Danio rerio: one gene and its partner. The protein of the gene in region 1 binds, or shares a complex with, the protein of each later gene. Links are inferred from orthologs where the notes say so. Each region holds a gene or a part of one and is shown in the gene's direction. Other genes may lie near its edges.

Region 1 (4,585 bases):
CGTCAAAATTCGCTTCATTTGCGCATCAAAATCTGCTTGGTTGGCGCATCAAAATCCGATTAATTTGCGCATCAAAATCGGCTTAATTCGCACGTCAAATCCATATCAGAACAGACACGTATTCTCATCATGGACAGGGCTTCTGTCTGCCCGGTGACTGTTGCTGAATGGCTAACATGGATTTTATTGAGAAAATGACTGTGTTATGTTATGAAGGCTAAAAACAACGTCGATTCATTTGGAGTCGTGTCTGAGTCCACTAGACCCTTTCAGAGGTGCACCCAGCTCTGTGAGCTCATAAACTACTCCAGGAACTTAACCTGGATAATGGAAGCGTTTAGCAATGCATTTGACTGAGCCGAGCCCAGTTTGATGAACTGATGTCGGTGTAGGCAGGAGGATTTACCCCTTTGACATCAACAACAGGTGGTCATAATCACGAAAAGTGGGCGTGTCCAGCTCTGTTTAGGGGGGAGTGTCGAAGGAAGTAAAGAGGCATGGTGTGAGATTGTCTATTTGGGCGCGCTGACTTACAGAGTCAAAACACACACACACACACACACACACACACACACACACACAGGGGACAAAGTGACTGTGTTTACATGGACATCTGTAGTCGAATTATTTGCCAAATTATTAAATGGTGGACTTTAACTGCAGTTTGGCTCTTTCATTCAGGGAATTCATTCATGTCCCTCGTGACAAACGAGATATTTGATTCGAGGAGCTGCTCTAAGCTGGTATTTTTCATGCAATGTTTGATACCGCACGGCGAATGAGAGAAAAAAAAACCTCCGCATTTCCCGGAAACTTAGATGCACACGGCAGGTAGCGTCAGAAAGCCGCGTGTGTTATTCCGGTCACTAAATGCGGTGAAAATCCTACACGAGGTTAAAGTTTGGTTGTGGTGCTAACATGTTTACACTCGGTGCAATAGTTACCGTTAGTTCGATACGAACAAACTGAATAAACAAATAGCACTGGTCGCTCACTTACCAAATCTGTAGAGACAGGACAATCCACAGCAACTAGAGCCGCGTCTTTATTAAGAGGAGACTACAAGCGAATCCGGATCTCAGCGTTTGCAGATGAGAACAGCTCTCATGTAAACAATAATCCTCCTTAGACACGTAAGTTATTGTTGTCGAGCGTCGCGTACACTGTTAATCCACACGTGACTCCAGCTGCGCTCTCACAGAGAGAAAATGAAAACAAAACTTAACAGCAGCAAACTATAAAAGCAACACTTCACGCTTGTTTTGCCAACACAACGTGGCGTCTCTGTCGTCTAAACACTGTGACAGTAATGAATATTAATGAAGTTGCACAATAGAGCGCGCTGATTGGTTTGAACCAAGCCTTACTCATGCATTAATGCATCACACTGTAAGACGTAATAAGACTCACTCTGGCACAGACGTCCAGTCTGCACGCTGGAATACAGGCTATTATGTCATGACCGTGACGCAGCTTCAAAAATTAGTTTCAAACCGGAAGTACGAATTTGCTTGAAATAACGCAAAAACAACCAATTTACAGTTTTTAGTGAAATATAGGTGTCCTAATAGTGTTTTTAGCAGTGTGGGACACATAGACGTCTGTCAACAGCTCAAAAAATGTGTTTTGGTGTTTCTTGACCCTTTAAAAACTTGCTAAGGTCAGTATTATTGGCCCTCTTAATAACTTATTATTTTTTCCAAATTGGCTACAGAACAAACCTCTCTTGTCTAATGACCTACAGAATTAAATTCTTTAAATTGCTCTCCAAGCTAAATACGAAAGCAAAATAGCTAGAAAAATATTATGTACTGTCATCAGTGTGTCGAAAAGAACTCTCCTTTAACCATCACTTGTGAACTTTTCAAAAAAATTATAAAAATTGCACAGGAGGGCTAATAATTTGGCCTTCAGCTCTTTGCCAAATGGGATAAGTCATTCATTCATGTGAGTAATTGTTTTCTTTCTGTCAGCCTCCAGAGGAGAAAGAAGCTCTTCTGCTGAAGGAGGAGTATCAGGAGGAGATGTCGGAGTCCACCTTCCTCTACCTGACCCTGGATCTGCCCACCGCACCGCTTTACAAAGACGAGAAGGAGCAGCTCATCATTCCTCAGGTCCCGCTCTTCAACATCCTGGGAAAGTTCAATGGGAACACAGAGAAGGTGCAATTTTTTGCAAATTGTCTGTTTGTTTTTCTTGCTTGTTTGTCAGTCATGGTGTTCACAGAAGTGTCTTAAATTCCATAGTATAAAGATAAGACCTTAATTAATCTTAAAGCGTCTTAAATCTGCTTTTCAAAGGTCTTAAAAATGCAATTGAATCGATCTGACCCCATAAAGAAGATTTTGTTTTTATTTTTATTTATCATATTCATTCATTCATTTTCTTGTCGGCTTAGTCCCTTTATTAATCCGGAGTCACCACAGCGGAATGAACCACTAACTTATCCAGCACATGTTTTAAGCAGCGGATGCCCTTCCAGCTGCAACCCATTTCTGGGAAACATCCACACACACTCATTCACACTCATACACTACGGACAATTTAGCCTACCCAATTCACCTGTACCGCATGTCTTTGGACTGTGGGGGAAACCGGAGCACCCAGAGGAAACCCACGCGAATGCAGGGAGAACATGCAAACTCCACAGAAACCCCAACTGACCCAGCCGAGGCTCGAACCAGCAACCTTCTTTCTGCTTGGCGACAGCACTACCTACTGCGCCACTGCATCGCTAATTTATCAATTTTATATTACTTTTATCAAAATTTTACTCTATAGCAGCTGTGTCAACCTATGGATTAGCAAATAAAGAGCTAGAGATGCATCAATCAGTTGACCAGGGACTGGAACTGGATGGTTTTTGTCATGACCGGCCCGAATGGTGATTGCCGCTGCACCTCAATTATTATTATTAGTTTCTCTACTAATTTTTTTTGACTATTCTATATGTAAAAAGAGTGTTAAGGATGGTAATTAGCTGTGTTGTTTGTTTTTTTGGTACTATAAAAAATGTAACTTTACAGTTGGTCTTAAACTTCATTCTGCGTGGTATTAAAAAGGTCTTAAATATAAATCTTAATATAAACCTGCAGATACCCTGGCAAATGATTTGGAAATTATATTTGCTGTTCAGTCATTTTAATTTCTATGTTCTCGGTGGTTTAAATGAGGTTTTTACTTGTATTTGTTTGCTTTTTAAGGTCATTAAACTTTTAAATTGATTTCAAAATCCTGCAGATACCCTGGAAATATATAAAAATTATTTAGAAAATTTCCAAGCTTAATGGCAAGTACACACACACACAGTTGTATGTGTTTGTCAAAGCTGCATGGCAGTGCACATTAAAGGTCTGCAAGCACATTAAGTTTGTTTTTGAGTCCAGTTGGACTGGACTTGGTTCATTTATTAATTCTTTTATTGTTCATTCATTAATTTTCTTGTCGGCTTAGTCCCTTTATTAATCCGGGGTCGCCACAGCGGAATGAACCACTAACTCATCCAGCACGTTTTTACACAGCGGATGCCCTTCCAGCCGCAACCCTTCTTTGGGAAACATCCACACACAATCACTCACATACACTACGGACAATTTGTGACATGGTACAGGTTAATATACACTGCTGAATGGATATCTGTTATGTTAGTGTACAAAATAAACCCGGTTTAACGTCCACAAACTGGGATTGAAGCGTCTTTTATAATTGTTCTGACACGTGGCTGTGCTGATGAAGTGAATCTAAAGTGAATCGCTGTACTTCATTACACACATGCACTGTTTTAGAACATTTCAAACTTGTAAGACTCACTCTTGATCACGTTTGATGATGATTGATGATCCTAGCAAACTGGACAGACCTTTTGTTCACAATTGCTTTGCGCTTGTCCTGTCTTGTTGATATGATTTCTACGGAGACATGTTAATGCGCGCAGCTGTCAATCAATATTGGTGGGCGGGGGGACCGCACTCCTACATCAAGTTGCGGCCGATCTGAAAACCGCTCCAATTAGTCTACTATTTTTATGTTGTTAAATTAAAAAAAAAAAGGACTGGGTGTGTTTATATCACCCCAATATGACAGTATATACACTATACTTACACGCATGTCTATCCAAACAGCTTTAAAAGTAGATTTTTCACCATAGGTGCCCTTTAAGCACAAGTTTATGGGTTTGTAAACGAGAAGGTAAAAGTAAAATCAGAAAGGTATAAATAAATGTTCACACTTTACAATAAGGTTCATTAGTTAATGTTTATTAATGCATTTACTAACATGAACAAACAATGAACAATACATCTACTACCGTATTTGTTCATGTTAGTTAATGTTAGTTAATGAAAATGCAGTAGTTCATTGCTAGTTCATGTTAACTCATTGGTGCATGTCACAGCTATATCACCCTGCAGCCCAAGACCGGTTACTCACTGAAGCTAAGCAGGGCTGAGCCTGGTCAGTACCTGGATGGGAGACCACTAGGGAACACCAGGTTGCTGTCGGAAGTGGTGTTAGTGAGGCCAGCAGGGGGCGCTCAACCTGTGGTCTGTGTGAGTCCTAATGCCCCAGTAAAAAGTGAAGGGGACAC
Region 2 (4,215 bases), on another chromosome or scaffold:
GAAGTAAAGCAATTTTGACCTTTTAAAAATAATCTCAAAAGTTAATATTATTAGCCCCCTTAAGAAATATTTACATTTTTGATTGGCTTCAGAACAAACCTCTGTTCTCCAATGATTCCCTGATTACGAATGCTTTATAATCATTGCTTATGAATGCTAATTACCCTTAAGCTGAATGCTTGTATCTTTTAAAAATAATATAGCAAAAACAAAAGAAATTAGTAATTAATACTTGTTTAAAAATGTGCTGGAACAATCTCTCTGCTAATCAGCACTTGGGAATTATAATTATTATTTTTATAAATATGCCATCATCGGTGTATAATATTTACTCCTTTTATCAGTACAATATACACTCACAAGCCACTTTATTAGGTACACCTGTCCAACTGCTCGTTAAGGCAAATTTCTAATCTGCCAATCACATGGCAGCAACTCAATGGCTGTTTCTCAATTCCAAGAATGCAGAGATTGGACTTGCGTTCTTGTGGAGACCAGTCTTGCCAGTTTTCCTTGGAAGAACAAACTCGGGAGACCACGAGAACAGGGAACGCATCCAGTGGGAAATGGGATGCTGCGTTCTTCCTGATGGTCACGTGACCTTCACTCGTTTTAATTTAAAATTTAAACATTACAGCATTCATACAATGAGTTATTGTTTTTCCCCTTTTCAAAATATATACTCTGCATAAAAACATTATAAATATACGTTGCACAGTATCAATAAAACAGATTTTAATACAAATTTCAGCAAACAAACACCCTTATTGCCTTTATTCCTTTATTAAGATGTCTATGGTAATGTTTATATTTACCGTTTCATTTAGGGAAACTCCTGAGGTAAATAAGTGATATCTCTGAACTTTAATAATAAATCTAAATAAAATGCGGCGCTTCCCACCTCCAGTCGCAATGACTTCTGGGAATTCTAGCAAGATCGTTGCTCAAGTCTGCATCGCTGCATCCTCAATATCAAGAACGCATTCGGGAAGTTTCACGAGTCCTCTGTTCTTGCAGTCTTGAGTTTTGGAACTGAACTTTGGCAGCTGATGATGACATTACATGACTACAAGGACGCAAGACCACTAAAGATTGCATATTGAGCAACAGCCAATGCATTTAGGCATATAGAAATTATCCAAACGATCTGCTGCTGTTCAAACGGAGCATCAAAATGGGGAAGAAAGGTGATTTAAGTGACTTTGAACGCGGCATGGTTGTTGGTGCAGGACGGGCTGGTCTGAGTATTTCAGAAACTGCTGATCTACTTGGATTGTCATGCATAACCATCTCGAGGGTTTACAGAGAATTGTTTGAAAAGGGAAAATATCCAGTGAGGGGCAGTTCTGTGGGCGCAGATGCCTTGTTGATGTCAGAGGAGAGTGGCCAGACTGGTTCCAGCTGATAGAAAGGCAACCACTCGTTAAAACTGAGGTCTGCAGAAGAGCATCTCTGAATGCACAATACGTCCAACCTTGAGATGAATGGGCTACAGCAGCAGAAGACCACACCAGGTGCCACTCCTGTCAGCTATGAACAGGAAACTGAGGCTACAATTCACACAGGCTCACCAAAATTGGACAATAGAAGATTGAAAAAAGACACCTGGTCTGAGTCTCCATTTCCGGTGACATTCGGATGGTAGGGTCAGAATTTGGCGTCAACAACATTAAAGCATGGATCCATCCTGCTTTCTGTCAATTGTTTAGGCTGCTGGTGGTGGTGTGATGGTGTGGGGATATTTTCTTTCACTCTTCAGCAATTAAGGCAGTTCTGAAGGCAAAAGGCAATCCCAGCACTAGTAAGGTGTGCCTAATAAAGTGGCCGGTGAGTGTAGTTCTTTGTAAGTTTTTAAAATCTATTTTAAAGATAAAGAAGAAAGACACACAGCAGCAGGGTTTTTTAAATATTTAGACCTAATGCACAAACGAATGCAGATATTATGCAATAAGTCGATGCACATCTGACCATTCAAGTGCAATCCAAGGTTCAGTGTATACATGCTCCAGGTGTGTGTATGTATGTGTGAGTAATACCTCATTCACACTAGCAGTGACTTTGAAGCTGCGTGCCGCTCAGGGTGGTGAACTGCTGCAAGTGCAGGTCTGTGTAGGTCTAGAGCACGGAGAACACAACCAGCCTCTGAGCGAGCAGAGAGAGGATCATGTGAGCTCTACTCGCGCTCCTGTTGGCTATCACTCAAGAAAGTTGCTTTTCATAGTTGAAAGATTCTCAACTTGGTCACGCTGCTCAGAAGGTCTCCAGAAGTTGCTCACTCACTTTGCTGGTGCAAGTCACTCGTAGTGTGAATGAGGCTTAAGGCATTATAATAATTTTTGTGACTTATTACTCTTGCTGACTTATTGATATCAAGCCAGTCCTGCTCTTTATTTTCTGATGTACACTCTTTTTATTACCTAAATGTAATTACTGCCGGGCTGCTTTTACCATAAAACATATTTTGGTGGAATGTGGAAGTTTTAAAAACCATTAGACAAAATTTAAGGAGAGTATTTTGATGGACATTTTTAAAAAGGTATCACCAGAAAGAATTTTAAATAATTTATCACAAATTGAACTAAAAAATCATATTTAACTTTTGATGTATTTTTTTGTGAATTTGATCTATTTTGATTTTATATATTCGCCTAAAGTAACTTTTTTTATTGTAATACTAATGTTTTTATCATGTAATATTTTATTTATATCCATTTTGCCACGAAACAGCCAAAGGTTGCTGATGTGGCAATAAATAAATAAAAATAAATGAACACTTTTTTTGTAAAAAAAACTAAATATTTGACACATCAGTGCACCATGCATGATATGCCCATTTATTTACACATTTTAAATATGGATTGTTTTTATGGAAATATGGAAGTTTTTCATATCAACTGTGTCACACGTCTTATTAAAAAGCCTCTATGATTTCTTTTCTTTCAAGGGGTTTGATGAGTACATGAATTTGGTTTTGGACGATGCGGAGGAGGTTCACATGAAGACCAAAAACAGGAAGCCCTTGGGTAAGTGTGAACTTCACACTTGTGGTGAAATATGCATTTCAGAGAAGCAAAAATAAAAGAAATTTATGAAGAAATTCACAATGAGGGCTTTTTTTTTGTATTTAACAGGACGGATTATGTTGAAAGGAGACAACATCACGTTGCTGCAGAGTGTGTCCAATTGATCCACATGAATATTATTTGTTTGCTGTTAATGTTTGTTTTCATTTCTCAATATTTGGATTATTGACTGACCTATAATTGTGGAAACCTTTTTGTTGTTTTCTAAATCTCCAAAATAAACCCCTTTTTCACTGTTTCAGACTACTGTATTTAGTATGATACACAGTATTGTGCCAGTGGCGTAGTGGTTAGTCCATCGATGCATGCACTCTGCTGCTCAAGGCGACCCGAGTTTGATTCCCACCTCGAGGTCCTATGCCGATGTTTTATTTATTTTTTCCCCCTTTTTCTGCTTTGCATGCTTTTTCTGTCAGTACTCTACTGTTCTATCTATTATCGATGAAATCCCCCACAAAAAAAAATAATTATAAAAAGTACACAGTATTGTTTCTGACTGGAAACACTTATGTGACGGCTTCATTTTGTTAAACAAAAAGCAAATTATCAAATATTTGAGGTTGGTGTTTTTTAAGGTATTCCGAGTTCACCAAAAGCTAAATTCAATCAAAAATACAGGAAATATTATTGTAAAATAGGGAAACTTAAAATCTGATTTTATTTGATTATATTTAATTAGTTGAAGATTCAGCAACAGTTCTCTATTATTCAGTGTCAGATGATCCTTCAGAAATAATATGCTGATTTAAAGTCATAACTGTCTTTATTGTAACTTTAGTGCAGGGGTGTCCAAACTCAGTCCTGGAGTGCCGCTGTCCTGTTTAGTTTAGCTCCAGCTTGCTTCAGCACACATGCCAGGAAGCTTCTAGTATATGTGGTAAGAGCTAGATTAGCTGGTTCAGGTGTGTTTGATTAGGGTTGGAGGTAAACTCTCCAGGACACCAGCCCTCCAGCACTGAGTTTGGACACCCCTGCTTTAACGTGTTTAACCTCTTATAAATATTATTATTTGAAAGATTAGGCTTGTTTTTGTGCACAACAAAAACATGCACCACAAGTATAGCAGTTGGTGGGAGTAGTATTTGTCTCTAAAGAATTTGTAACTATAGTTGACACCTTATTGCAGCTAATC

Evidence for each region. Proteins that work in one complex are often made in the same cells at the same time.
Region 2: usp39 (region 1) and snrpe share a complex: the UniProt entries of both Homo sapiens proteins name them as parts of the U4/U6-U5 tri-snRNP complex. The link is inferred for Danio rerio from reciprocal best matches to the Homo sapiens genes USP39 and SNRPE.

The regions. Positions count from the first base shown.
Region 1 is NC_133180.1:74,860,800-74,865,384, forward strand, and holds part of usp39 (ubiquitin carboxyl-terminal hydrolase 39), read left to right. Parts: intron 1-1,973; coding exon 1,974-2,162; intron 2,163-4,585.
Region 2 is NC_133186.1:40,126,488-40,130,702, forward strand, and holds the end of snrpe (small nuclear ribonucleoprotein E), read left to right. Parts: intron 1-2,944; coding exon 2,945-3,023; intron 3,024-3,131; coding exon 3,132-3,187; 3' UTR 3,188-3,326; downstream 3,327-4,215. UniProt on the Homo sapiens protein: Plays a role in pre-mRNA splicing as a core component of the spliceosomal U1, U2, U4 and U5 small nuclear ribonucleoproteins (snRNPs), the building blocks of the spliceosome.